7 linked regions of the Kluyveromyces lactis genome follow. The protein of the gene in region 6 binds, or shares a complex with, the protein of the main gene of each other region. Links are inferred from orthologs where the notes say so. Each region holds a gene or a part of one and is shown on either strand. Other genes may lie near its edges. The genes, in order: MTC5, NUP82, NUP120, NPR3, NUP2, SEH1 and NIC96.

Region 1 (4,153 bases), about 1.2 Mb from region 6:
ACATTGTGAAGTTCGTTGGCACAGCAGTAAGCTTCGATGACAATTTGGCTTTGGAAAAATTCAGGTCCACTCATACTTTGAAGCCACTAATTGCTATCAATATGACTGAAACAGGTAAGCTATCCAGGGTGCTAAATAATATTTTGACACCTGTTACCTCCAAGTTACTACCATCCGCCGCTGCCCCTGGTCAATTGACACTAGCTGAAATCAACCAATTGTATCACCAAATCGGTGGATTACCAGCCAAGAAGTTCTTTGTTATTGGTTCTCCAATTGGACATTCCAGATCTCCGATCTTGCACAACACTGGGTATGAGCTACTAGGCTTACCTCATCATTTTGATAAATTCGAAACTGAAGATATCGAAGTAGTTAAGAAAGAACTTTTGACCAGAGAAGATCTCGGTGGCTTAGCTGTAACCATCCCATTAAAACTAGATATTATTGATAGTATGTTTGAATTGAGCGAAGCCGCAAAGACCATTGGCGCTGTAAACACTGTTATTCCTTTAGGAAAGAACAAATTCAGGGGTGACAATACTGATTGGTTAGGTATCAAAAACTCTTTGGTTTCAAATGGTGTTCCTAGTTCTGTTAGTGGTTCTGCAGGTCTGATTATCGGTGCTGGTGGTACTTCAAGAGCTGCTATATACGCTTTGAAACAAATTGGTTGTGACACCATTTATATGCTCAACAGAACCACGGAGAAACTACAAAAGCTGAAATCCGAATTTTCCGAAGAATATAAGATTGTTGTCGTCGAATCTGCCGAACAAACAGAGTCAATTAAGGAACAAGTTTCTGTTGCTGTTTCTTGTGTTCCAGCTGATAAGCCTTTAGATCCAGAGTTACTAAACAAATTGGAAAGACTTTTGGCAAAAGGTACAAATAGCTCCTTCAAACCAACCTTGTTAGATGCCGCATATAAGCCTTCAGTGACCCCTATCATGAAGCTCGCACGTGATAAGTTCAACTGGAATATCGTTCCGGGCGCTGAAATGTTGGTTCATCAAGGTGTGGAACAATTTTCTAAATGGACAGGTGCAAAACCACCATTTAAAGCTATCTTTGATGCAGTTACCCAAGAATAGATAAAACATTAGATACATTTAAACTTCAAATAACGTCACGAATGATTAATAATAGCTTTCTAACTCCCCTTTTTATGTATGTCTAATCCACTATTTGTTAATATTCCTTAAAGCATTATTAACTGTTGATAGGAAAAAATGAATCATGAATATATAATGAAACAAAGCACAATTCAATAGGAAACATCATTCGTATATTGAATTCTAGTAAGGTTCGTGTTTTTTAGAGGTTTCGATATAAGCCACACTTTGAGATTGAATGTCTGAATACGTAGGGGAAGGTCCTTACTCATCACCAACCTTCGGGAAATCACTTTCTCTTCGGGTTGATGGTGGATTTAATGCTGTTTCTATCAATCCATCTGGTAGAGATGTCGTATTAGCCAGTCGAAAGGGCCTTTATGTGGTAGACTTGGATGATCCTTTCTCAGAGCCTCGATGGTTACACCATCTCACGTCTTGGGAGGTTGCTGACGTGCAGTGGTGCCCGCATCCGGCCAAGCATCACTGGGTTATATCTACGTCGAATCAAAAAGCAATTGTATGGAATCTATCTAGAAGCTCTTCTAAAGCAGTGGAGCATGTATTACATGGCCATTTCAGAGCCATTACAGATATAAATTTCCACCCGTTGCAACCAGAAATCCTAGCTACTAGTTCAATTGATACTTACGCCCTGGCTTGGGATATGAGAAGCCCCAAGAAGCCTTATTTTAGAACCAGTAACTGGAGATCTGGTGCTGCACAAGTCAAATGGAATCACAAAAATTCCAATGTATTAGCAACCTCGCACTCGAATATCGTGTATGTTTGGGATGTAAGAAAGGGTACATCTCCGTTATCTGTATTAGAAGGTCATAGCGGAAGCGTTAATAGCATCGACTTCAATCCATTCAACGAAACCGAAATCATGTCAAGTGGGAATGACGGAACGGTAAAGTTCTGGGATTATAATAAAGTTGAAGATGAACTACAGATGACAATTACCACAGAGTTTCCTGTGTGGAGAGGACGATATCTCCCGTTTGGGGACGGATATTGCATCATGCCGATGATAGGAGGAAATAATTCTGTATATTTGGCGAACTCTTTTCATGACTCAGGCAATTCTGAGTCAAGGACTACCAAACTACAGCCAACGTACGTTTTCAAGGGGCATACAGATAGAGTCACGGACTTCTTATGGAGATCGAGGCACAGTCAAAATACCATCATTGATGACAGAGAATTCCAATTGGTTACTTGGTCCAAAGATTGCGATTTAAGACTATGGCCAGTACCCGATATGGTTTACGACAAAGTTCACTACGAATGTGGCAAAGAGCTGCCGGAGAAGCTACCAGATTATGATTACGACACTTTTAGATCAGAACCTGAAAATAATATAGTAGATCCCCGGTACACAAATATAGAAATTCCGAAGGAAACCTTTGTTACAAAATCCGGACTACGCCAATGGAAAGCTGACAACAATATAGATCAACTACAATGGATTTCGGGTGTGAGAATGCATAACGAAGATTCACCGCATGATCTATTTGAAGAGGTGAGTTTAAACAATCTTGGAGAAGAAGTCACTTCCGTTGGGCACAAGTTCCCTAGAATTGTTTTTGAAAAAATTTCGGTTTCGACAGGAGAGTTAATTATTACTTTAAATGGTCCATGGGTGGAAGAAGATCCAGAAAAATACATTTTCATGCGTATTATTATTAACTTCCCGCCAAACTACCCCATGAAAGGAAATGAACCTGCGTTCAAGATTGAAGAGAACAGGGAATTAAAAGAACATCAAAAAACTCAGATAATGGAACGACTAAGAGAAATCAGCAAAAAATATGTCGATGCAAATCGATATTGCCTTGAGCCGTGTTTACAGTACCTACTTGGAGAAGAAGTTAACTTGGATATTTCCGACATGGAGGACGACAATAAAATTTTCAGCTTTGATTTCGAAGATGTAACTTCTTTAGATAGATCATCTTTGGGTTCATCTGATGATCATAGCGATGCTCCTACAGAGATTTCTTCTGTATCAGATGTTGAATTCGCTGTCGGGGATGGTTCTTTGCAATTGTATTCTAGTACACCAGAACCAAAATTTGATAGCACACCTGTCCCCAACGGTTGTGGAGCAGTTTGGACCGCTCAAGGAACCCTTGTTTGCTTCTTTAGAGCTGAGAATAAAACTGAAAAAAAGCAACACGCCATAATCAATGTTGGTAGAACTGGTATTGGAGGTTTTGTGAGATCAAAAAATGTCCAGAGTGCGTCACAAACTTTGAAGGATAACGTATCGGGAAAACAAAGAAAGCCAAAAACTTATAGAGAAGCGCTATCCATAAACTCACAACATGCCAGTGAATCACTAAATCAATCATCAGATTCGGATTCAGATGATAGTGATGATAGCTATGCTGAGTTCTTGGATGATATATTGAAAAATGATCTCACACTAAGGACTAGGATGCCAATGATGCCACGCATATTCCGTGATGAGACGAAATCTACTACGAGTGTATCCGGAAAAACCACCGATTCAAATAAAAAAAGCAAGTCATCTATAGTCGTTCAAGATTTTAAAAGTTTGATTCCCGACAAAAAAGAGCTAGCTGAACAGTATATTTTATTTCGGGAAACTCCTGAATTTGTTGCGAAGTACAATGCAGGCATTGCGGAAAGTTACGGCTATGAAGATATCGCGCAATGCTGGAGAATGATTTCTAATGTTTTAATAGGAAGAGGAGATAACGATTTCTACAATTATGATTGGGACCAGCATTCATTGGGTGGTAAACTTTTAGTGAAAAGACTATTCGAGTATTTTGAGAAGTGCCAAAATCTTCAAATGCTTGCAATGATGAGCTGCATCTTTGCTACGCTTGGAAGGCCAGATCAGAAAACAAATTATAAACTAGTTCCGCCTACTTTATCAGAAAACATCATTACATTTTATAACAATGAATACGAGCCATCGCCACATGTTCATTCCACTCACGGATCGTTCTACTCTAATGACACAGGTACACAAAATGCGAGAATGAGATATGGCACCAATCAAG
Region 2 (4,029 bases), about 490 kb from region 6:
CTAAGACCAGCCTTTGTCAGGTTGAATCAAATTAGAACATTTCAAGAAAGAAGAGCAGGTCCACCACCATTACCAAAGGAAGACCAGGAAGAGTTTGAAAGGCTGCAGAAGCTAGCGTCTTCTCAAGAAGCTATTGATTCTTATAATGCACAGTTTGAATCGGATCATACTATGGAATCGGTGAAATCGCCAATCTTGAAGAACGATATTGGTGGGTTTTCTCCAGAATTTATGAAGACTATACCAGAGTTCGAAGGCGAAAAGAATCCTAAAACAGGAGAAATTGGTGGACCAAAGCAGGATCCATTAAGGCATGGTGATTATTCTTTCAACGGAAGAGTCACCGATTTTTGAGCGCCATTCACACGTTAAAACAAAATTCGGTTAGTAGCATATTCACATAATGAAATGATATAAAAAGTAGCACATAATATAGTAAGGTATATGCCAGTTTTAAAACTAAAAACGAAAAAAAAAAGATATGTAGATGGTGATTGCTATTATACCGCTAGATCTTCAATGGATGCGCTTAACTCATTCATACAAGAATTGATGACCTTTTTGTCGTTCAGTAACATTTGTTGTAGGGAACTAAATTCTAGCTCGGAAAAGAAATCGTCTCCTTTAGTAGTTGATCTAAGCTGTGTGTCCAAAAACTCTAGTTCTTCGCGAAGTTTGTTTGTCAGATGTACATAGTTATTGAACTTTAATACCTGGTTTTTGATACTTTTGAACCACACTAGTTCGGCCTCGCTGATACTGCTTGTTCTTAATTTCTCGTTATTTTCTATACTGGAGAATGTCTCTTTTAACTTGTCAAGTCGTTTTTCCAACGTCTTGGACTTTTCCTCATACCTGGAATATCTTTCTTGGAGGTCTCCCAAGTTTCCGTTAAGTTTATTTCTCAACATTTCGATCTCGTTGGTTTTTCTTAATTGGCGATGGAGTTCAGCCACTTCTTCGTTGGATTTGTTGAACATTCTAAATAAAATCATCTGTCCCAACTTGACGCGCTTCATGGTTTCCTTGTAAAGTTCAGAAACCACTTCCAATTGACGTTCATTGGAATTGTTCTTCAAAGGGAGAGGAGCCAAAGAGTCCGGTATGCCTGAAATGAATCCATTGGCTTCTGTTTTATACTTCGTCAAAAGCATATCCAATTCCTTTCCAGACGTTGGCAACGATGGTTTATATGTATATTTCACTTCATCGGTTCTGTTTATGGGTTTCTGTGTGGTGCTCTTGTCGTTACTCTCGATGACCTTGAAGGAATTGCCGTTGTAAAGAATATCACCAGACAAGGTAGATAAAACACCGAGGAAAGTTCCTGAAACTGTTCTTATTTTATTTTCAAACTTAACATCATCAATGATAGAGAAGTCATGAAGCCTTATGCACTGTGCCAATGGTTCCAACCATGGCATTTCCATGATAGTCGTGGAGCTATCACCAGTAAATACTAATTTAGGTTCCGAGGAGTTTAGTAGTTGGCATTGACCTTTTGCATTGAACATTGTTATTACACTAAGGTTATTGAATGTAGTATTGGAGCGTAAACTCCAACTCATGACAATTTCAGAATCGGAGAACAACACAACGTTTGTTCCATCTATAAATTGAAGATTCAAAAGGCCCAAACGTTCTCCAACCGGTATGATTGTCAAGCCTGTGACCTCTTTCGCATTCAAAGCTGTCGGAAATTTTTTTATAATGAACGGGCCCTGTGGTACAGAGTTCCTGATTGCTTTGCTCGTGAATGTGTCTATACCATCATTTTTTTTATAGTTGTCGAAAAATTGAATTTGTTTCAATAGATCATGCTTTAAGGTGAGGTAATCGGATTCCACATCAGGATCTGAACCTGATATCAGCTTTAGCTGTTTATCGAGGCTATTGTATAAAGACAATGATTTGTGCAACATGTAATCCGCTAAAGAACCATTTTTCGTCCTTGATGTGACATTTGATGTATCATTACTGCGTAGGGAAAAATTCTTTGGTAGACACGGATGGATAGCATATATGTCACAGTAATTGAAGGAGCTCAGCAGATAAAGTGTCAAACCGGTTGGATCAAATGCAATGTCACAAACTGATTCCACATGGTCTGATAACCCAAATGATCTCGATTTACGATTGAAAACAGTGATAGATTCGGGTTCTAGGTCTTCAAGATCATAAATTCGAATTGTACTATCATCATGCAAAATAACGAAAGATAACCCATAAGTAGCCAGAGGATGCCATAATAGTTTTTTTATCCCTAGACTGGTATTGAAATGCTTTCTTAATCTAGATTGCTCATTCACTTCCATGACATAGAGCTCGCTGTTCGCATGAAATGCTACAAGGCCCCCCGACGGACTGATGACCATTTGTTCTGGAACGAATGGAAGCTCCACATTATAACTCCTGTATTGCGTTTCGTGGTCTGATTGCACTCTTAAGATGTTGTCCTGCCATAAATAAATAGTGTTGGAATTGTTGCAGACAAGACGGTCGGAAGGGTTCAGAGACACTTCCTGGAAGATTGCCTTCAAATCTTCTGTATTGAAGAGTAACATCCCACTATATTGGTTCAATATCCGGCAGTTAAAGTTATGGAAGAGAAGGTACCACAGTTAGATCGCCAGTTGATCTGTGTTACGTGTATTTCAAGAAGCGTGAGAGTAGTTCATCGTCGATATATTTTGAATATTTTGAACTTTAATAGTAAAAAAAAAAAAATACCTATAGCAGATCCAGTATTGCAGAAAAGGAAGTGTACGAAAGATATCAAAAAGTTATGTTAGATATGTGTCTTTATGTCATTTTTATATGTATATATATTTACAGGCGTGAATCATACTGTGGGTCCGTTAAATCTTTGCTAAGAAGTTATTTTGTTTGATGTTGGCACGGTTGGCTATCCTTAATTGTTTTTTTCTTAGCTTGATTGGATCAGCTGCTAGTTTTTCAGCTTGGACGTTGGCATCAAGCACTGTCCAGAGCCATTCAGGGTATTCGCTGTCTTCTAATGCCACGGGTTCCTTACCGGATTTCTTGATTTGTAAGTTCAATGGAGTGCCAGCTGGACATGATGACACGATCTTGGCAGCTTGGCCAGATGCCTCGCTTTTCACTTGGTTAAATAGCACGCGAGTCACTCTCAACATTTCTCTCTTTATATAATATGAAAAATAACCGATTTGTTATGGTGGGTATGTGGTTGCCGATACCAATTCGAACCTCAACAATAAGTTTTGGCAAGTTTGTCCTGCCTTGCGGCTATCAAAGTTCATGATCATTTACAGTCCAATTTGAATTTCTATGGTACAAAATGTTGATTTTATCGAAATTTTTCATTCAAAAACTAAGAATTCACAAAACGCCAAGCAGGGTAATGGCGAAATCCATGACGACATTATAGAGGGACCAGGCCGCGTAGTAGCATAGTTTCGGGCTAAACACGGACCAAATGAATAGGTGGTACCTTAGTGCAATGCACGCTATCATTAGACATGTTCCGGTGATATAGTAATGCTGCAAGCGTAGTGTCTTCTGTTTGTAGCTTTGAGGAATTAGTGAGAGAGCCCAGTAGATGGATGGTGCGTAGTTAGACAAGAACATTAATACACCAACAACGTATATGTTATAGTTGCTACTAACACCATTGTATGCATTAGTTAGATTGACAGTTGCAATGGAGTTCGTACCACCAAATTGGAAAAAAGTGAGGTTTTGTAGACATAATGAGAAAATTGGTGTGATGTCCGGTGTGACGCTAGTCAGTATTTCAAATATTAGAAACAATGGGATATTTGCAGATGAAGTTTGGAGCAACAAGACGAATTTTATAACACTCAGTAGTTTGTTTAACATATTGGTGCTTTTATTCAAGGCGTATTTCATGAAAAGAAGGATTATAATAGATACACCACATATTTGGAAGAAAATCCGAGCGATAGGCACTAAACATTGTGAAATATCTGATTCTGTAGCATTTTCATTAGCTAGATACATGGCGCATGATCTAAGTGCGAATGTGTA
Region 3 (4,287 bases), on a different chromosome or scaffold from region 6:
TTTTATAGCTGTTCCAATCAGTGAGAGAAACTTGTGATGATAAAATTGAAGCTATAATTTTATAATCACTCACACATAATAGTATGGATCCGTTGGAAATGTTTGCATTGTAGCATTCTTGGAGTAAAGTTGCAGTGAACATTTCACTGTACTTTTGATCACTCAGCAGTGTATAATAGTATTTTTCTCTTAGGCTTATATCAAGGACTTTTTGTTCCAACCTCAATACATCCAGGACTTCTTTATAATCGCCAAATACTATCAATGTATCTAAGTATTGTATCAACTGATCTGCTCTTGTACCATCAAGTGATATAGATTTTTTGATGGTTTTTAAAGCATTAGCATACGATGAAGCTTTGGAACATAGAACTGAAAGTTCATAATAGTATGCTGGTTTATCTTTTGTATTGATCGCATGAAGGAGATTGTACCAAACGTGATTTTCAGTAACCTCCAGATATTTAGGTAGTGAGAGCTCATCAGAGAAGTCATTTGCCAAGAATATTTCAATAGATGCATCATATTCATTGCATTTGAACAAAGAAAGAGCATATAGTAGTTCTTCTACTGGATCCTTGGACACATGGTAAGGCTTAGCAACAAAGTGTAGGAATTGCTTTGCACAAGTCAAATCTTCGCCGTTCAATATGAAATCGGAAAAGGCTCTTGTAAATATTGGAGGTTCAGCTGTTGGAGAATTCTTGACAAAACCAACCATTAATGTAGTAAAGTCGGTTATATCGCTGTAAGATTTCAATTGTGCACCATAATTGTATTTAGTAACATGACCGAAGGTCTCAGAAATTGCCAATAATTTATCTATTTGATACACTTGGAGCCACAATGAGATATTGAAGTGCAAGGTAATTAACTTAGACAACTTCTCTGCAAAAACTTCATAGTTGATATCCACAATAGTGAATACTAACAATATATCAATGATAAACTTATCCATAATGGAGAGTGTCTGCTTCAAGGATTCCATAGACAAAACAGATAAGAAAATGTCAGTATCTAATAAATCAATAACTGAAAAAGCACCTACTTTCAAATCACAGTGTATAAATTCGGATAAAACCTCCACCACATCAATAGAATTTAGATTTTCCAACAATTTTGATAAATTAGCACTTTGGAAACCATTTGTTAGACAATCTTGAAAGACAATGGTAATTTTATTTTTCAATGATAACGAGGGATTTATTGAACCATTTACCATGTCTAAGAACTTCTCAGATATCTTATTTAACGTTTCAGATGTAATGGTTGTTGAAAAACCATGCAGGATATTTAAGAAAAGCTCTAGTTGAGACGAGGGTTCCTTTCTCTCAAAAATGTTAAAGAAAATTGTTTCAAGTTGTGAGTCTAACTTATACGTGGAATGATGATACATGTGTAAGCTGTTAACAACAATTATCTCATCATCAAGAATAGTTAGAGTTGAAGGCTCCTGATATTGTTTATGAAGTTCTTTCAAAAGAGCTTCTAGATTATTCAAATAATCTTGATTATGAGGATCATTTATCTGCACCATGACATTATTTTTATTCAGTATCTTTTGTGCGTCATCGTACGTTGATTGTGAGTAGTGTGACTTGAGATTGAGGAGAGCCTTTTCCATATTTCCGTTTGTTATTAGGTCTGAGTCATCAAGCAAATCAGAGAGGTATGTGCTGTTACCATCAATCCATTTGTAGCTACTATACAGAGAGTCTTCGAAGGAGAGTAGTTGTAGCTTGGTCACTGTGTTACTTTTCCATAATAAAACCAAGTTGAGTCCCGATTGTTTGACAATTGAGGATTTTACTAATTGAATGTCAATTAAAGACCATATTGAATAAGATGAAAGATTGAGAGGTATATTAACGTTTAATGGTTTGAAGGAGATTCTTGAAGAATGCGTATTTTCTAATTGAATGACTTGGAACGATCCATTACCTGCAGGTAGGTATACAAACAGGAGAGATCCACAAATTATCATGTATTTTCCGGCAGCTCCATAATTCACCTGCTGGTTTTTCTCTTTTAGATCGAAATGCGCATTTAGTTGATATGTGGTTAAATCCCAGATTTTAATGGTTGCATCATTCGTTAATGTGACAAGATACTTGTCATTCAAAAGTTCTGCAGATACCACTGCAGAGTTGTGGTTATCGTACTTTGAAAACATTCTTGTAAAACTTTGAAAGTATGAACTATCATTGAATAGGACAGGTTGCAATTCAAAATCGTTTAATATTTCGAGCGGAATACGTTTTAACCCCAAAAGACCACCATCTTTTAGAAATACTACACTGAAGGTGTTATCAACATGAAATAGACACTGTGGAGGACGTACTGAGAAATCATACGGGTTTAAAACCTTCAACCAATTCTCAGGATACTCATTTTGACGAGTTCTCGATAGAATAAAATCGATAGGCAATGAAAGGTTGATGAAAATTCCATCCTTTAAAATCACATCAAAACATAGGTTGGAGGTCGTTTCACTAGATTCGTATACGACTGCAGTAAACCATTTGTTCAGAAGAGGTTTTGGAAAGTGGATATATATGGTTTTCCTTGCAAAAGTTTCCTTCATGGAGTAAATACTCAAAACAGTGTAATTATTACACCATTGGAAGGACAACGATTCATCAATTAATTTTAGTTGCAACAGTTTGCTGTACTCTACGGAAGTTATTTCTTCTGTAGATGATCCAACATTCCCATTGACGTATAAATGTTGGGCATTGTCTGATGAGTGCTTCGATTTTAATTGTAGTAAATTTGTATTCAGACGAGAAAAGCTGGTCATTTTTCGCAGTTTCAGCTTTACCTCTCAGCTGTTCAATAGTAATGTTGTAGGTTTATGTTCCGATTTAGCCTGTAATTGAAGTTCTCTGGTGGCTGTTCTCTTCTGTTTACCGATTCCACTTCATGTCAGATTGATTTCAACATGTCTTTTCTCATTGTTGTTGTAACCATGAAAACAATATTATCCGGGTAACTTATAACTGAATTTTAAGGTCGCTTGGGCAATAATTTCCATGTTGTGAGGAGGATTATATAGGTACTCTGGGGATACCATGTCTATAGACGATGACGTTCGTCTTGTACTGTTTTACATGAGCATTATAGATTATTTTCCTATATTTCTCTTTGAATTATAGCGGCAGCTTTGATTACTATAGCATTGCGTTCATAAGCTCATAATTTTTTCTAGTCGTATCACACCGTTATAGCCACCAGAAACGATTACAGGGGTATCATCTATGACTGTGGATGCAATGGCAATTGGTTGCACTTCAGCGGGAACCTTCTCAGGGTGTTCATAATGATTGTATTTTCTAATTACTTTACCATCTTCTTTGATTGACTTCACGAGTATTGAACCATCCTTCAAAGCGGTGACAGTGTACTCCAAATCATTGAGGAAAATCGAGGAAATAGCAGATTCTGCGGTAGAAGACACTAAAATGGTCTTCTTCTGATCGAAAGAGTAAATCAGAGTTTCTGTATCGAATCTCACAAGCAATTTTGATGTCGACCTGTTCAATGCTAATTCATTATTTGTGTGATGGAATTGGGTCAGCGAATGAGAAAGATCGATTTGTTGTAAAAGGGAGCCTTGAAAGTCGAAGATAGAAATCTTTACGTTTTGTTTTGAACTACCATTTAATATTATAAGCGATTTTTCCGTTAATCCCAACAAACAATTGAGAATCTTATTGGGGACTGAAATGACGAATTCATTAACCTTAACGATACTGGAGTCATCGATTTTAATTTCCCAGACCCGTATCTCGTTAACGAAAGTCAAAATTAGCCATTTATTTTTGAAATCTACAGATTGTAAGCCTTCTAAATCCTTGAGGCCATCCCAAGATATGACAGGGTCGCTCTGGCTTACGTTCCACAACTTGACGGAAGTTTCATCCACAGTCATAAACCTTGTTTTATTCAACCAAAAAATACCCAAGAGGTTAGGCACACAGTGAAACGCCTTGGTTGCCTTTTCATTAGAGTTCAAACTAGGTTCAATGAGCCAGTGCTTTAGTAAACCATCTGAGCCAAAAGATAGCATGTTGTTTCCGAGAAGCTTCAATTTGCTAATTGAAGATAAATGATACTGTAAGAAACGATAAGTATGGAATTTGAGCATCTCATTGGATTGTGTTGAGAACAAGGACGATGATCTTGATCGCCTTGTGTTTATTACAGTTTCGGCATCAGAAACGTCATCTCCTGGGGGTGAATTTATGACATCTTTCCAATCCCTGTTTAGAGTGATATTTGGGACAT
Region 4 (4,103 bases), about 1.0 Mb from region 6:
TCCAACTGTCCCGATGCTGACTTGTCTGGTTACACCCACGATGGTTCTTTCCAACAATATGCTACCGCTGATGCCGTTCAAGCTGCTAGAATTCCAAAGGGTACCGATTTGGCTGAAGTTGCTCCAATTCTATGTGCCGGTGTTACCGTTTACAAGGCTCTAAAATCTGCTGACTTGAAGGCCGGTGACTGGGTTGCCATTTCCGGTGCCTGTGGTGGTCTAGGTTCTTTGGCTATCCAATACGCCAAGGCTATGGGTTACAGAGTCTTGGGTATTGATACCGGTGCTGAAAAGGCTAAGTTGTTCAAGGAGCTAGGTGGTGAATACTTCGTCGATTATGCCGTCTCTAAGGATTTGATTAAAGAAATTGTTGACGCTACTAACGGTGGTGCCCACGGTGTCATTAACGTCTCTGTCTCCGAATTTGCTATAGAACAATCCACCAATTACGTTAGATCAAACGGTACCGTTGTATTGGTCGGTCTACCAAGGGACGCCAAATGTAAGTCTGATGTCTTTACACAAGTTGTCAAATCGGTCTCCATTGTTGGTTCTTACGTCGGTAACAGAGCTGACACCAGAGAAGCTCTAGATTTCTTCGCAAGAGGTTTAGTGCATGCTCCAATTAAGATAGTCGGATTATCTGAATTGGCAGATGTTTATGACAAGATGGTCAAGGGTGAAATCGTTGGTAGATACGTTGTCGACACCTCAAAATAATTTTACTTCAATATGGTTCGATAATGAATCCGGTTTTCTTCTCTCGCTCTGAATCCCTTCATACATAATTGATTTCAATAGCACTATATTTTACGTTTAATGAAACTTTCAAGAATAATAGTAGTAACATCAGGACCTTTTGAGATGTTCTAGTATCGATTACGCGATCCTACTTTCTTAGCAGACAATATTTTAATCTCTGTTTGTTCTTATCTAATTTTGAAAGTTAAAACTGCAGGAACATACACCACACGACAAATTAAAAGCCCTCAAATACATTCAGCAACGTTTGAGTTTTACTGTTCCAAAAACTTAAGCATATACGACACCCCGATATTAACAAACCAAAGGAGATTTCGTAGTGTCTACTTGTGCTGTCTCTCCAGTCATATATAGTTTCCCTTATTATTATAGAAATATCTACACATGAAAAATATGAAAATACGATAGTCATTTTACTTGATTAACTGATAAAACACCTAATATACAAAAGTACTGGGGTATAACTGCTAATTCGAAAGAATCTTTCCCTCAATCTAAGAGTTCAGCAGTCTATGAAGCTCCAAGAGATAGGAATAGCTCAATGTCCACGAATTTACCGAATTCCTGCTTAGTACAAATCGCATTAACTGTTTCAACTCATTCGGGTCCACAATTAATTTATCATTATCCACCAAGCAACTATGCTACTGCGACCAATTCGAAGAAGACGCATCACCCAGATATCAAGAAAAGATACGAGTATACGGACTCTGAAAACAATTCGTCTTCAGATGACTACTCTTCAGGTTTGAGTGATAGCGAGTTGTCGACTGACTATGCAGATTGTTCATCTGATGCATCAGAATCATCGTTAGACTCCCTTCCACAATCAAATCATGAGGATACTGTAAACAGCAGTACAAACAATACATTTATCAATAATGGTCTACGATCTCGTCAATCTCAGATTAGTGCGAATAAACTCTTTCAAGTGCTAAATCAGAATAATAACAATGTTGCAATCAATGGCGAAAACTCGTTGAGGGAATCGTTGCACTCGATTAGAACATCGACTAATATGTCTAGTACGACTGATCCGAGACCAGAAGATGAATTGGATGCAGTAGATGAAGAGTTGAAAATCTTGGTAGACGATTTGCTAGATGGTTCAATATTTCAGCAGGATACATTTCAGGATATCTCAAAAGTACTAAATTTCAATACAGAATTTGTAGCTGAACTCTGTTCTCCAAGAAAGGAGATGTGTAACACCAGATTTGAATTCACTGTGGATGACTTATGTTTCTTAGGGTTGCCAATTCACGCGGATCACAAAGGAAGATGGAAGAAATCAAAGAAGAGAAAGCAAGCTTCCAAACGTTCGGCTAGAAGTAGCACTGCACGAAACAGTATTAGTAGAAATAGTGTTGGTCGAAATAGTATTGGTCGAAACAGATCTAAAACAGAGAGTCAAGGACACATTAATGATGTTGAAGAACCTGCAGATGATGAGAATAGTGATTATGAACCATCCAAATCAGAAATGCTTAATGAAATGTACTGTGTGCCTGATGCGGAAAATGATGAATTCGAAAGTTTGCAGCAGAGTATAAACATGTTCCAGGTCTGCTTCATCATGAACCCAAAGATCATAGAATATAATGAAAGAGTCGATGATATGTATCATTACGTGGTGACTAGATTATCATTGATTTTAAGGTACATACAAGGAAAAACCGGTTATGTCACTAGGGAATGCGTGAAAATTATGAAGTGTAAGGACGAAGTTTCTAAACACTCTCGATATTATGAGTCTTTAAAATCTCCCTGGTCTAAAGGAAAATATATGTATGAAAGAATTCTTTACGAATCGTCACTAGCTAGAGCGTTAACAAAATGTTTCAATTGCATCCATAACAATGAAATTGCTAATCTTGAAATTGATGGTGATAAAATTGTTTCCTTGCAGATTCCAATCAAAAATGAATTTTCCATTCTTCCAAATTTAAAAGAAGATGCTGTTCTTCGTGGATCTTTCTTATCCTCAATACTAAACGAAAGTTTTATTGGTAGAAGCACTAGCTTGACAAACGAAGATTCAGATAATTTGTATGCCAACCACGACAGGCTTCTAGATTATGGATTGCTTTTGCTCGATGAACCTGAAAATATTATAAAAGGGCTTGAAAACGCTTCCTTTGATAACGGCGTTACTGATTTACTTTTGATCAACCTTGTAAGACAGTTGAAGCCCACTATAAGGCTTGGTCAATATAAATTATTAATTAAAGAGCTAATCGATTCTAATGATTCCTCATATGATGATCAATTCTGTGAAACTACTTTAAAGTCGTTATGTCTACATTTAATATACTGGCGTCACGCCCGTTTGATACTGCCAATATCATCGAGAAACACATATATAGTTTCTCCATTGGCGCCAATCTCAGGATTTTCAACTGATGACTTCAAACATGGCGAATACGACACCTTAATAAGACAACAAGAAGTTCCTGTGAATAACAACGATGAACCGTCGTTGATATACCAAAACAAGAAGGTATTCAATGAAAAATTTCCCTCCTTACCTTCTTTGCCATCGTTCCTTCAACTTATGTCAACCCAGAAACCCAGACCTTTCGGGCATATCATACCATCCAATGAACATAAATCTATGTATTTGAATGCCCTGGCATGGCTCATGAGGTACGGATACCTCACTCAATTATTGACGTTTGTGTATGTACGTGTGGACAAGCGCATTAAAATAGCTGTCGATGAGGATCTAGAAAAGGATAACTTAAGATCGAACAAACACGAAAAGTCCGGTAATTTTGTTACTGGAGGTGAAAATTATAACTCCAGTGAGTTTGATGATTTGGAGATGATCAACGATAATGATTTCACTATAATTCTTGAACCAGAACGTAATACTGCATTAGAAAAGAGATGGTTGTACAAATGTGCTGAGGCATTACCTACTGATCTTCAAACGCTATTTAGACAAGTGGTGAAATACTTTAATGGGAAGGTTTCTTTGGAGTACATTATGATTAAGGAAGGTATTCCTAAAAATGAGATAAAAAGATTGCTTCAGGCCTTAGGTAAGTACATCGTTGAAGTAAAACACTGGTAAATGCCCTATCCCCTTACATTGTTATTCTTCTAATCGATTCTACGCACAGGATTTTGTCAATGCATAATAATTAAGTACTATATAATAAGCCATTTTTGGAGTTGCATAACTTTATGTCATAACTAATCAATTCACTGTGTTTTATATTTTTTGTTTTGCATGTTGTAACCATAACAGTTTGTAATTCCGGAGAAGCTCGAACAGAAAACATATCTATATATATATGCCATGCATGTAAAGTTTAAGATGATATCTTAAGTTTATT
Region 5 (3,874 bases), on a different chromosome or scaffold from region 6:
TAATAGCAGAAGGTCACTTGAAACTTGATGCTTTCAAGCATGTTCCGTTAATGGCAGGACTCAACTCAGATGGAATAATCTTCTTTGATATTTTGCTTTTCCAGTTGTTCCTTTCCGAAGGTAAGGCAGCCGAAATAAAGATCAAACGAGATGGAAAGAAAACATTTGAGTATAACTCTGATGGTTTGTCTTCTTTGATCGAGAAAGGTATTAACATTCAGAATAAGAATGTTATTTTAAAAGCGCTAAGATGGTTTATATCTAAGCATTTTGATTATATCAAGTATATTTCAGGTATGAAAGGCTCAAAAGAACATGATAGAGAAAGTAGAAGACTGTCTTGGGCAGTTGCATCTTTCAAAAAACTGATAGAAGAGGAGCTCAAAGGTGCTGAAGATTGACTATTTTAAGTACTTTTTTTTGCCATTTTAATAGTTACACATGCATATATGAACTAAGTTCAAATAGTTCTATTAATTAACAGTTAAATGTACTTAATTTTACATCGGTGATTGAGCATCCTTGATCGCTTGTACTAATTTTCTACCATCAGCCTTTTGTTTCACTTTTACGACGTATGTGTCTAACCCTCCTTCCGCTTTAATTGCAGGACACTTAACCAAATTCTCATTATTTGGATCTAATGCTTCATAGGAAAATGACTTTATAATACTAGTATTTAGCAAAATATGACCCATACCGTCTGACCTACAAAGTATTCTTGCTTTTGTATTGTCTTCCTTGTTTTGCAAAACCTTCAATTCACCTACACCACGGGAATCATAGGCTTTCGTCTCAGTATTGAAAATCATTAGCTTGGCGCGTTGCGAAAAGAGTAGATTCTCATTCTCCTCACCGTTCGATAGATTCAAAGTTTTAGATGGCTCTTCTTGTGCCTCAGCAGATGCGTCTTCGCTGTTTTTTTCACTAACTTCCTTGGCAGTATCCTTATCAGATGTTGGAGCAGATGAGGCAAAGGGTAAAGAGATCTTGAAGCCAGATGATTCACCTTGTGGAGGCGCCTCTTCAGATTTGTTGGCACCAAAACTGAATGCTGGTACAGTTGATGCTGCTGTTGCCCCAAACGTAAACGTAGGTTTTTTCTCATCTTTTTTGTCGGTCTCCTGTTTTCCAAAAGTGAAAGGAGTGGAGCCTGTTGAAGCTTTACCAAATGTAAATGAAGGTTTAGATGACTCAGCCGGTTTTTCAGAGGTTGTTGAGGTACCGAATGTGAAAGAAGGCTTTTTAGCTTCATCATTACTGTTTTCCTTGCCCATAGCTCCAAATGTAAAGGAAGGCTTTGATGAATCTTTGTTTTCAGTTGCTGTCCTTTGCACTGGAGCAGAGAAGCTAAACGATGGTTTAGAGTCCGCCGATGGAGCAGGGGCAGAGAATGTACCGAAGGTGCTAGCTGGCTTTGCTTCTTCCTTTTTATTTTCACTTTCTTTGGCCAAATCTTTATTGTTGCTGAAAGAAAATGAGAACGGAGATGATGAATTACCATTATCAGCCTTATTTGACCCAAAGGCAGGAAGAGCTGGTTTGCTTCCCTCATTTTTCTCTATGGATGGTGCGGACGCAGAAGGAGGGAATGTTGGTTTAGATTGTGAAGAGTTCCCAAATATACTAGCTGGCTTGTTATCCGTTGGTTTTTCAGCTGGTTCAGATTCCTCTGTCCTTGAAGCATCATTCTTTGGTAAAGTAAAGGCACTGGACGATACAGTCCCATTAAACGTAAATTGGGGTCCCTTGATCTCTATCTCGCTGTCGCTATCGCTGTCAGGTTCCTTACGCTTATTCCCACCGAAGCTGAAAGGCGGATCAGACGTCGTTGGTTTCTTAGCCAAGACAAACTTTGGGCCTTCAACATTAACGGCTGGTTTTTCCTCTTCAGAATCACTATCGCTGTTAATCTCAATTTGTTCTTTTTTATCTTGCAGTCTCTCTTCCGTTACGGTCGTTGTCGGTTTAGTCACCTCCGAAGGTAGAGCAAATGATGGTGCTGCGCTAGGCTTTGCGAATGCAAATGGATTTTTAGGTTTCTCCACATTTGCTGATGTGGTACCAAATGTGAATGAGCTAGTTGGAGGAGCGTTTGCAGCGCCATTAGTTTTCGCTTCTGACCTTAACTGTTGCGAATAGGTCTTGTATTTATCGAACAGGAAAGAAATATCAGCAACTGGATCTGATTCCAATGTAGAATTTATTTTATTTTTGAATTGCACGTTCAATGCCGTGAGTTTTTCGTTTAAGTCAGTGCCTTGAGGTTTCTTGTCATCCTTTATCACTTTGAACATGTTAGGTTTATCACCCGCAGTAAATCCTCCCATTTTCCTCTTTGGCATTGCAATTTTTCTGGTACTCATTACAGATTCGCTGGCAACGGCAGGTTTATCAAATGGAGTCTCGTCATCTGAAACATTATTACTATGTCCGTTCTCAAGACCTTCTCTGGTCATCTGAGAACCCGCAAATCTCTTTGACATATCCTACAGTGAGTATTGTGCTTGGAAAGATCAGCTCAAGAGAAGTCACTTTCTTAATCAGAAACGAATTGAACTAACGGGAAGCAACCGGAAGTAGCAGAAAAGGAGTTTAAGGATTGCTGATGTGTAAGCATTCAGACATCAACATGAGAATTGATGATACTAACACCAGAAATAATAATAAAGCAGCTCGAAATTCTAAATCCTTCAATATACTGTTGACTCGTGTGGGATGACTTATGCTGAACACGTGACTACATGTTATTCTGCTTGTGATGGGTTGCTCAGGGGAGTAAAAATGTAAAAAGTATTTAGCGAAACTTTCGAATCGCTTTCTCCTCCGATACCGGGAGTCGAACCCGGGTCTCCACGGTGAGAGCGTGGTGTGATAGCCGTTACACTATATCGGAATATAAAACGTTGTTATGCTTTCAGGGATTATTTGCAATAGCCACCGTTATAACCGACACACGTGCAATGATTTCTTACCTCATTAGTTGACGCAGGTGGCAAGTACGATGGCCGTAACACCATGTAGGACTTGTTGGTGTAAAACTTGCTAATCTATCAGATGAAACATCTGTTTTATAGCGCTCTTATTTTTAATGTTGTATTACGGGACTGTTTTGTTGGATCCAGACACCACGTTATATATCCGAAAGTTGAACTTTGTATATTTTCTCATGCGTTATTTCCTTCCTAAAGAGGAAATTATCTCCTTTCCAAAATGAGTCCATTTGTCGCAATCCTCGTTATCCTGCTTCACTTTCTCTGCTTCTCCGGTAGGAAGAGGAATACTTTGCGTCCTGGACAAACTCACTTCGGATTGAATATTCATTTTTTGATTTACATTGAATTGCAACTTAGAGATATTAACAAGTTGTTTAAAGTAGCACCTTGATTATTATAGGGTTATTTACTTTTGAGTTCATTCAAGAAGAAACCAGCTAAGGGAATTTGAACGTATGTGCCGTGTACTAGCAGTGGTTACTTATTTGGAATAGCACTTTTGGGATTACGATGAAAGAGATAACAAAATAAAACCAGCACGAGGTCTGATATCGAGGATTATACAAGAATAAGATAGATATATGAATCAGGAAGAGGTTCTAATGTTAATTTATTGATAGTGATGACAAATGAAACAACACCAGTTATACTGAAACAACATTTACCAGAGATATTTTGTGGACGGATTGATAATTTTCTCTCCAACATTGTATTGATCATCGTACTATGGCATCAGGATTAAAAGTGTACTGAATAATGCAGCTTTTTGTTATTTGGTGATATAGCCCAATGGAACTGCCAGCAAATATTTCTTAGGAAACCAGATTCTATAATTTGGGTGAATTTGCTGGAAAGTAAGGATTCATTCAAATTGACAA
Region 6 (2,731 bases):
AGAAAGCAGAAGTGCTAAGGAACGGAACCAACAATCAGGAACAGCAACGGAACGACAGATTTATCGGCCGGACGATGAAGAACTGTACATTCTGGTAACGGCGTTATAACAGTACTGTAGGTATATCATATAAGATTTTATGATGACACCGGGTATATCTGCATCCTATAAGATTTATAGATTAGTAAACTGTCAGTGTTTATTGCTATGTGTCAAAGCATGCGGAAATGTTCGTTTCTGATGCAATGTATTTCATGTGATTACAAAGCAACGGCTGGATGTGTGCAATTTGGGGCTTAGAACTTAGAATTGATCGGTACATGATAAACTCCAAGCAGGTGAGAAGACGGCTTTAAACCACCAATGTGGCGTACCTTTTAGCTATAAGGTTTCTATTTGTCAGTGTTTAGATTGAATCTCGAACCCTTGATGATATCTGGTCACGTGGTCAATAATTACATACATTTTAACATCACATTATGAAGGGATATATACATAAATCACCTTGCCGCTTGTACCACACTCATACACCTGAACTCGTTCGAGTAAGATGCTTTCCATAACCGAATCTTACCATCATCTCCGGTACTACTTAGGATTGTACCTGTGAGATTCCAAGATACGGACCATACCTCGCCCTGATGGTCTGAATGTTCGCTGATCAGCTCGACGTGAAGGTTAGCCACTGATCCATCTGCATCAATGGCGGAGCTGTCAATGGGTGGGCCATCACGTTCTATGTTTGCATTGTTATCGTTTTCTTCGTTTATAATATTCGTACCGTTGTTACGCGATTCGGTTACTTTGAATATTCTTAATTTCCCATCTTTGCAGCCCGTAGCGATCAATTGGTACCACCTGCCCACTGATGGTGCCCACGCAATGGATCTGATTAATCCAGTGTGACCCTTCAAATGTCCTGCTGGGACCAATTTTCCCTGTTTGTTTCTTTGGTAGATAGTTGCCTGATCCATGGCACTGATAACTAATCTTTCTGTTGAAAATCTGGAGGGACACCAGGACAGACAAAAATCCGATTGTAGATGTGATGCAGGTGGAGTATTTAAGACGGTAATCTCGCTTGTCAGGGTCCATGACCTAAGATCGGAAGACTCTAACGCATCATAAAGACGTAACTTACCATCATTCCCCAATGCAGCTAGCCTTAGTCCCAAATGCGATGGAGCAAATTTTACGCTGAACAACGGTCCTGTCGCATCGTTCAACGTACAAAGTTTTTGCCAACGCTTTCCGGATAACTCAAGGGCATCTGGATCCTCCTCCCATAGTTTGATAGTCTTATCGTATGAGACACTCGCGATGATACGACCAAATTCTGGTGCGGCCCAATCAAGAGACACAATACTGCTATCGTGAGCCTTCCAACTTTCGCTCAATTCCCACTCATTCGTTTCCTTGTCTAGCTTGAACACCTTGATATGTTGGTCGCTGGAACATGTTGCGACTCGACGACCGTAAAAGTCATAACTAATATCGTGCACTAGGTCTGAGTGTCCTGTCAAAAACGGTTTCATGATGATAAAAGATTTTATCGGATTTACCACTAGATTGGTCGATAGAATAACTTCAACCTTCAAAGCCGTGAAGTGTAGATATCTCTCAACTCAGCTCAACTCTCTTTCCCTCTATCATGCAACTTTTAGCTTTCGTTTTCGAAAAGTTCGAAGTTCAATGTTTAAAGGATTCATATATATCGAAAATCAAAACACAATAATTTAAGAAAGCGCTTGGCATTTTAAATGCTAAGCTAAAAAAGTGCTTACTGAAGCTTTATATATAGCCAGTACCAGCTCAGGGAATGAACCATGCTTTCTTATTTTTTGCTACTGTTTGCTATTGCAATAATTGTATATTTTAAAGATGTATCTCCTATCGGATCTGCAGTAGGGTTTTCTGTAATTGGCTACGTGGCAGTTGATGTATTGATCCCACAAGTAGGTGATTCCTTCATCAAGATTGGTTTATTTGGCAAAGATATGAGTAAACCTGGTAGGCCAGTGATTCCAGAAACAATTGGATCTGTATCTGCTACAGTGTATTTGTTTATCATGTTCTTTTCGATTCCTTTCATGTTTTACAAATATTTGGTGATAACCTCTGGAGGTGGAAATAGAGATCTGGTTTCTCAAGAATCGACGGAGGAACAGCTATTCCCACATAGTAAGTTAAGTGAATTTTTAAGTGCACTTTTATGTCTTGAATCCACGATATTACTAGGTGCTGCTGACGATTTGTTTGATCTTCGCTGGAGACATAAATTCTTCCTACCAGCAATTGCTGCGATTCCATTACTTGTAGTCTACTATGTTGATTTTAGCGTTACCCATGTTTTGATCCCTAAGTTTGTACAAGAGTTAATTGGTACAAGCAAGACATCCATTGATTTAGGCGCTTTCTATTACTGCTATATGGCTTCGGTCGCCATTTTCTGTCCAAATTCAATTAATATATTGGCTGGTGTCAATGGACTTGAAGTTGGGCAGAGCATTGTCCTAGGCCTAATATTTATGATTAATGATGTGTTGTATTTAACTATGGGTGTGAACGGACATGCTCGTGAATCACACCTATTCTCACTTTTATTGATCGTCCCATTCCTCGGAGTCTCACTAGCATTGTTCAAATGGAACCGCTGGCCTGCAAAAGTATTTGTCGGTGATACTTACTGTTACTTCGCTGGTATGGTTTTCGCTGTAGTCGGTATTCTTGG
Region 7 (4,090 bases), on a different chromosome or scaffold from region 6:
TTCTTGTACATTTCGTTGCATCTTCTACTCACTACAACAATGCACTGCTGAAAAGGTAATTGGCAGTTCAAATGTATATATATACATATGCATATATAATCTATCAGGCAATTATATCGAATAACAATCGACTTACACATGGTTATTTTATTGTATGCTATTATGGTAGGACGTCTGGGTTCTGACATAACTCAGGTGCTCATAAATGAGAGCTCTGCTACAAACCAACTTCTATATTGATTAATATGCTGTAAGTTTCTCTTGGCATTTTGTATTGAATCATACCAGCATAAATCATACAATTTTTAGCAACACGTTTGAGAGAATCGATTTGCTGCTTTTTAGTCAAAGATTGGTAATCACTTTCGTTCAACTGCTTTATGATGTTAGAAATGCATAGCATTGTAATTATCAACAGGTTAGGTATGTTCTTTAATATATTCTCATCCAAATGTGTAAATTCTTGTGCTCTTTTTCTGGTCGAGCTTTCATCCGTGAACGGAATTAAATCGAGATCTTCAATCTGTTGTAGGGTGTTTTGCCATTGGCGTGCTAGGAATGATGCTCTTATATCAGCTAGTTTCAACAAGACAATACATGTTTCTTTGTTTCTTGCCTGAACCTTTTTAGAGATTTCGATGTTGTTGATGTACACTTCGATTAACTTCTTTGCCATTAAGACGTAATTCGTTTCGCTGTTGTCATTCAACCTAAAGAGGGATTGATTGAGGTCAGTGCTACTTAGAAGTTCTCCCAATAACTTGTTGATAATGGACATAACAATGTCATATTCTTCTGATAACTGGTACAACAACAAACTATCATGAATTCTTCTTTCTTCATCAGCCCTACGAGCAGCCTGTTCGGTAATCTTATACAAAAAGTCCTTCTGGTCCTCAAGCTGTAATAATGGGCGTCTTTCTTCAACTACACCGGGGATCCTAATTCCTTCAGAGTTGATCTTTCCGAGAAGTATGGTGAACTCTTTAGTTTCCAAGATCAATTCCCTGAGTGCCTCATACGCCCATTCAATCTGCTCTTTCTCATTCACTAGTGCGATGAGAATTAGATATTCGACAGCTATTCTTGGATCAGAGTACTTGAACGACTTTGTGTAATTTCCTAATACCTTAACAAAGTTTATCCTTGTTTGGCCATCATTCACGGAGATCAACTCATCCTTTTTATAAGATGACACATGTAACATGCCATTTGCCGCTAGACCAATTGCCAAGTGAACAGCATCGATTTCATTTATTTTGTATGAGTACTGTACTGCTAGTTCATATTGTCCGCTTAACAAAAGGGCCTGTAGATAATAGTTTTTAAACATGTACTCACCGTAAGAGACAACAGTATGTTGGAAATCGCTGAGGGTATACCTTTCATATACTGGATCATCCATATCCATATCATCTTTGATTAACATCAAGTGAATCCATAACCAATCTTCCACGCTTAGAGTAATAGAAGAGATATTCTTCCTTGTCAAATCACATCTGCCAATAATTTTGTAGACCGCCAAACGGAACGGATCGCTGTCCAAAGTGTTTTTGATATGCTGGTTATATTCTGTATGCAACCTTGAGACAAATTCCTGTGGAAGACGATGATCAGGAGACGTTACATAAGCTTTGAAGTATGTTAGGAAAGATTGCTCCACTTTTTTGAAACTCAATTTGTTGTTAACAACTACTTCTAGCGCGTCCTGCGGTAAACCAGCCCTTAGCAAATAAAAAATCAAGGCCCATACGGGAATTCCATTCACAATCGTAAGATTGTTAAATTTCCAAGTATTTTCACCAGTCTTCAGTTTGAGGTCAATAAATGCTCTAATTTTGTTAACATTGGTCGGTAAACCTTCGCTTGGATTCTTTGAATACAAATTGTCAACATAGCTCAAGAACTGGTTTTCTAGGTATTTTTTGGAAAACTCAACAATATTTGGGGATTGATTTGTTGCATTATCTATAATCTCCCAACCGTCAAGTAGCTGTCTATACTTCGAGTCGGTCGTATTCTGAAAGATGGCAATGAACTCTTTGGTTAATTGAAAATCGTCATTATGTGATTGTCTTGAATTGTTAAACCTGTAAATAATTTTGGCATATTTCTCAAACTTTTCTCTAAGGATGTGATTTCCATTGACATTTGAATTTAAATCACCATCCAAGATACCACTACCAGGTGGTTTCCCCCAAAATATTGGACCGTTGGGATCCAAAGGAGCCAAATTAGTCGTATCGTAGTTAGAACTATCCTGACGTTTCTTGACTAGGATCCCAAAGCTTTCTCTTACTTCATCTTTCCTTTGCTTCCAATCTAGGTTGAAGTTCTGATTAATGAAATTATCAAAATCCTTCGCTGCTAAAGACAATGATTGTTCAATGGAGGAAAGGATATTCTCATCCTTCTTAATATGTAAATAAGTGTCCAAATCACCATCGTTATAGCCTTGTGCAACCCGTTGTTCGGTTAACAACTCTGATGACTTAAGATTCTTCAAGGAACTCTCAATTTCGTGAAATTCAAGTCCACTTCCTGCTAAGAGATAATGAGCTTTTGTATGATTGGAATCGTGAGGAATTGTCTTACGCATCTCCTGTGCCCTCTTTTTCATCTCATTGACACTCAATAAGATAGCTCCAAGGTCAGATGAAGTAGAAGGTAAGTTCTTTGACGTTTCTAAAAGCTCATTGAATAATTTCGATGAGCTCTTAGACGTGGAGCCACTAGTCTTTGCATCGTTTTGAAATGCAGATAGCATTGTATCACTGCTGATTTGACTGTTGATATTCATAGTTCCACGATTGTGTGGATTTTACAATTCCAAAATCTGAACGGGTTAAAGATAATTTGATGCGATGGATAGCAACAATGTGTATTGATTTTCAAAGTATCTTCAATGAATTATTTCCATCATCTATTCAACGTATTGATAGTTTACATTTTCTTTTATTGTTTTCTGTCTAATTTTTTTTAACTACAATGTTTTGCACCGTTACCCGAACATGTGACGGGACAAAAAAATGGACAGCCAGAAATTGATCATGACAGTAATTAATATTAAAACATAAGTATGTATGTATTAACTCAAGAGAAAATAAGTTAATTATATATTGTAATCTGGAATTGATGATTGCCAGAATCTTTTGATTCCTGTGGTCAGTTTTTGTAGAATAGAAAATGTTGTTTTGGTTACCATTGAAATGTAGGTTTTACTTCGTTTAGTTCAAAAAAAGAGTTGAATGAAATGAAAAATTGATTGTGGTCGTTATACGTTGATGATGCTGTGCGAAGGACAAAGCTTAATCGCAGTACATGTTGACATATTCATCAACAGTTAAGTTTAAGAAACCGTCATCTGTACTTGCTTCCATTAAAGCTTCCACCTTTTCAATATCGCCGGCGAAATGTTCACGCAAATGGTGGTAGAATTTCTGCATCAATAGTGGGACACCTTCCTTTCTTCTTAGTCTGTGACCGATTGGATATTCTACGACCACTTCATCTAAGACAGTCCCATCATTCAATTCTACTAACAAAGCGTTTGGGATTGATCTCTTTGATGGATCATGATAATCCAAAGTGAATTGGTCATCTTTAGTACAATACATCTTAGCTCTCAATTCGTCAATTTCAGGGTTGCTTGCTACTTCATCACTGTAATCGTCAGCCGTTAGTCTACCGTAAATTAATGGAATAGCAGTCATGTATTGAATACAATGATCTCTGTCAGCATAATTGTACAATGGACCCTCCTTGTCAATAATTCTCACAGCGGCTTCTTGAGTTCTAATTCTGACCTTTTTAATGTCTTTGTAAGTTTTGCCCAACTCTGCCAACTGTTTATTCACCTTAATAGCTGCTTCCACTGCCGTTTGAGCATGGAATTCTGCTGGGAACGATATCTTGAAAAGAACGTTTTCCATCACATAAGAACCGAAAGTGTCCCTTTGCTGGAAGGTGAATGGTTTACCTTTGAAAAGAACGTCATAAAAACCCCATGTCTTAGCGGTTAGTACGGAAGGAATTGTACCTGGACTTCCATTCTTCACCAAATATGCAATGTTGACAGCTCTTGCCACTG

Evidence for each region.
Region 1: SEH1 (region 6) and MTC5 share a complex: the UniProt entries of both Saccharomyces cerevisiae proteins name them as parts of the SEA complex. The link is inferred for Kluyveromyces lactis from reciprocal best matches to the Saccharomyces cerevisiae genes SEH1 and MTC5.
Region 2: SEH1 (region 6) and NUP82 share a complex: the UniProt entries of both Saccharomyces cerevisiae proteins name them as parts of the nuclear pore complex. The link is inferred for Kluyveromyces lactis from reciprocal best matches to the Saccharomyces cerevisiae genes SEH1 and NUP82.
Region 3: SEH1 (region 6) and NUP120 share a complex: the UniProt entries of both Saccharomyces cerevisiae proteins name them as parts of the nuclear pore complex. The link is inferred for Kluyveromyces lactis from reciprocal best matches to the Saccharomyces cerevisiae genes SEH1 and NUP120.
Region 4: SEH1 (region 6) and NPR3 share a complex: the UniProt entries of both Saccharomyces cerevisiae proteins name them as parts of the SEA complex. The link is inferred for Kluyveromyces lactis from reciprocal best matches to the Saccharomyces cerevisiae genes SEH1 and NPR3.
Region 5: SEH1 (region 6) and NUP2 share a complex: the UniProt entries of both Saccharomyces cerevisiae proteins name them as parts of the nuclear pore complex. The link is inferred for Kluyveromyces lactis from reciprocal best matches to the Saccharomyces cerevisiae genes SEH1 and NUP2.
Region 7: SEH1 (region 6) and NIC96 share a complex: the UniProt entries of both Saccharomyces cerevisiae proteins name them as parts of the nuclear pore complex. The link is inferred for Kluyveromyces lactis from reciprocal best matches to the Saccharomyces cerevisiae genes SEH1 and NIC96.

What each region holds. Positions count from the first base shown.
Region 1 is NC_006042.1:1,825,475-1,829,627, forward strand, and holds the start of MTC5 (Mtc5p), read left to right. Parts: upstream 1-1,353; coding exon 1,354-4,153. Other genes in the region: ARO1 (pentafunctional protein ARO1p), read left to right, coding at 1-1,094. UniProt on the Saccharomyces cerevisiae protein: Component of the SEA complex which coats the vacuolar membrane and is involved in intracellular trafficking, autophagy, response to nitrogen starvation, and amino acid biogenesis. May be involved in telomere capping.
Region 2 is NC_006042.1:156,109-160,137, forward strand, and holds NUP82 (linker nucleoporin NUP82), read right to left. Parts: upstream 2,565-4,029; coding exon 501-2,564; downstream 1-500. Other genes in the region: SDH8 (Sdh8p), read left to right, coding at 1-354; MRPL37 (mitochondrial 54S ribosomal protein mL54), read right to left, coding at 2,859-3,155; mannose-ethanolamine phosphotransferase LAS21, read right to left, coding at 3,361-4,029. UniProt on the Saccharomyces cerevisiae protein: Functions as a component of the nuclear pore complex (NPC).
Region 3 is NC_006039.1:1,080,501-1,084,787, reverse strand, and holds the start of NUP120 (Nup120p), read right to left. Parts: upstream 2,801-4,287; coding exon 1-2,800. Other genes in the region: FAR8 (Far8p), read right to left, coding at 3,185-4,287. UniProt on the Saccharomyces cerevisiae protein: Functions as a component of the nuclear pore complex (NPC).
Region 4 is NC_006042.1:1,680,034-1,684,136, reverse strand, and holds NPR3 (Npr3p), read left to right. Parts: upstream 1-1,303; coding exon 1,304-3,838; downstream 3,839-4,103. Other genes in the region: KLLA0_F18260g (zinc-dependent alcohol dehydrogenase), read left to right, coding at 1-720. UniProt on the Saccharomyces cerevisiae protein: Component of the SEA complex which coats the vacuolar membrane and is involved in intracellular trafficking, autophagy, response to nitrogen starvation, and amino acid biogenesis. Mediates inactivation of the TORC1 complex in response to amino acid starvation.
Region 5 is NC_006038.1:545,774-549,647, forward strand, and holds NUP2 (nucleoporin NUP2), read right to left. Parts: upstream 2,487-3,874; coding exon 501-2,486; downstream 1-500. Other genes in the region: SGD1 (Sgd1p), read left to right, coding at 1-401. UniProt on the Saccharomyces cerevisiae protein: Functions as a component of the nuclear pore complex (NPC).
Region 6 is NC_006042.1:649,975-652,705, forward strand, and holds SEH1 (Seh1p), read right to left. Parts: upstream 1,536-2,731; coding exon 501-1,535; downstream 1-500. Other genes in the region: ALG7 (UDP-N-acetylglucosamine--dolichyl-phosphate N-acetylglucosaminephosphotransferase), read left to right, coding at 1,827-2,731. UniProt on the Saccharomyces cerevisiae protein: Functions as a component of the nuclear pore complex (NPC).
Region 7 is NC_006041.1:1,253,996-1,258,085, forward strand, and holds NIC96 (linker nucleoporin NIC96), read right to left. Parts: upstream 2,801-4,090; coding exon 218-2,800; downstream 1-217. Other genes in the region: PDH1 (putative 2-methylcitrate dehydratase), read right to left, coding at 3,309-4,090. UniProt on the Saccharomyces cerevisiae protein: Functions as a component of the nuclear pore complex (NPC).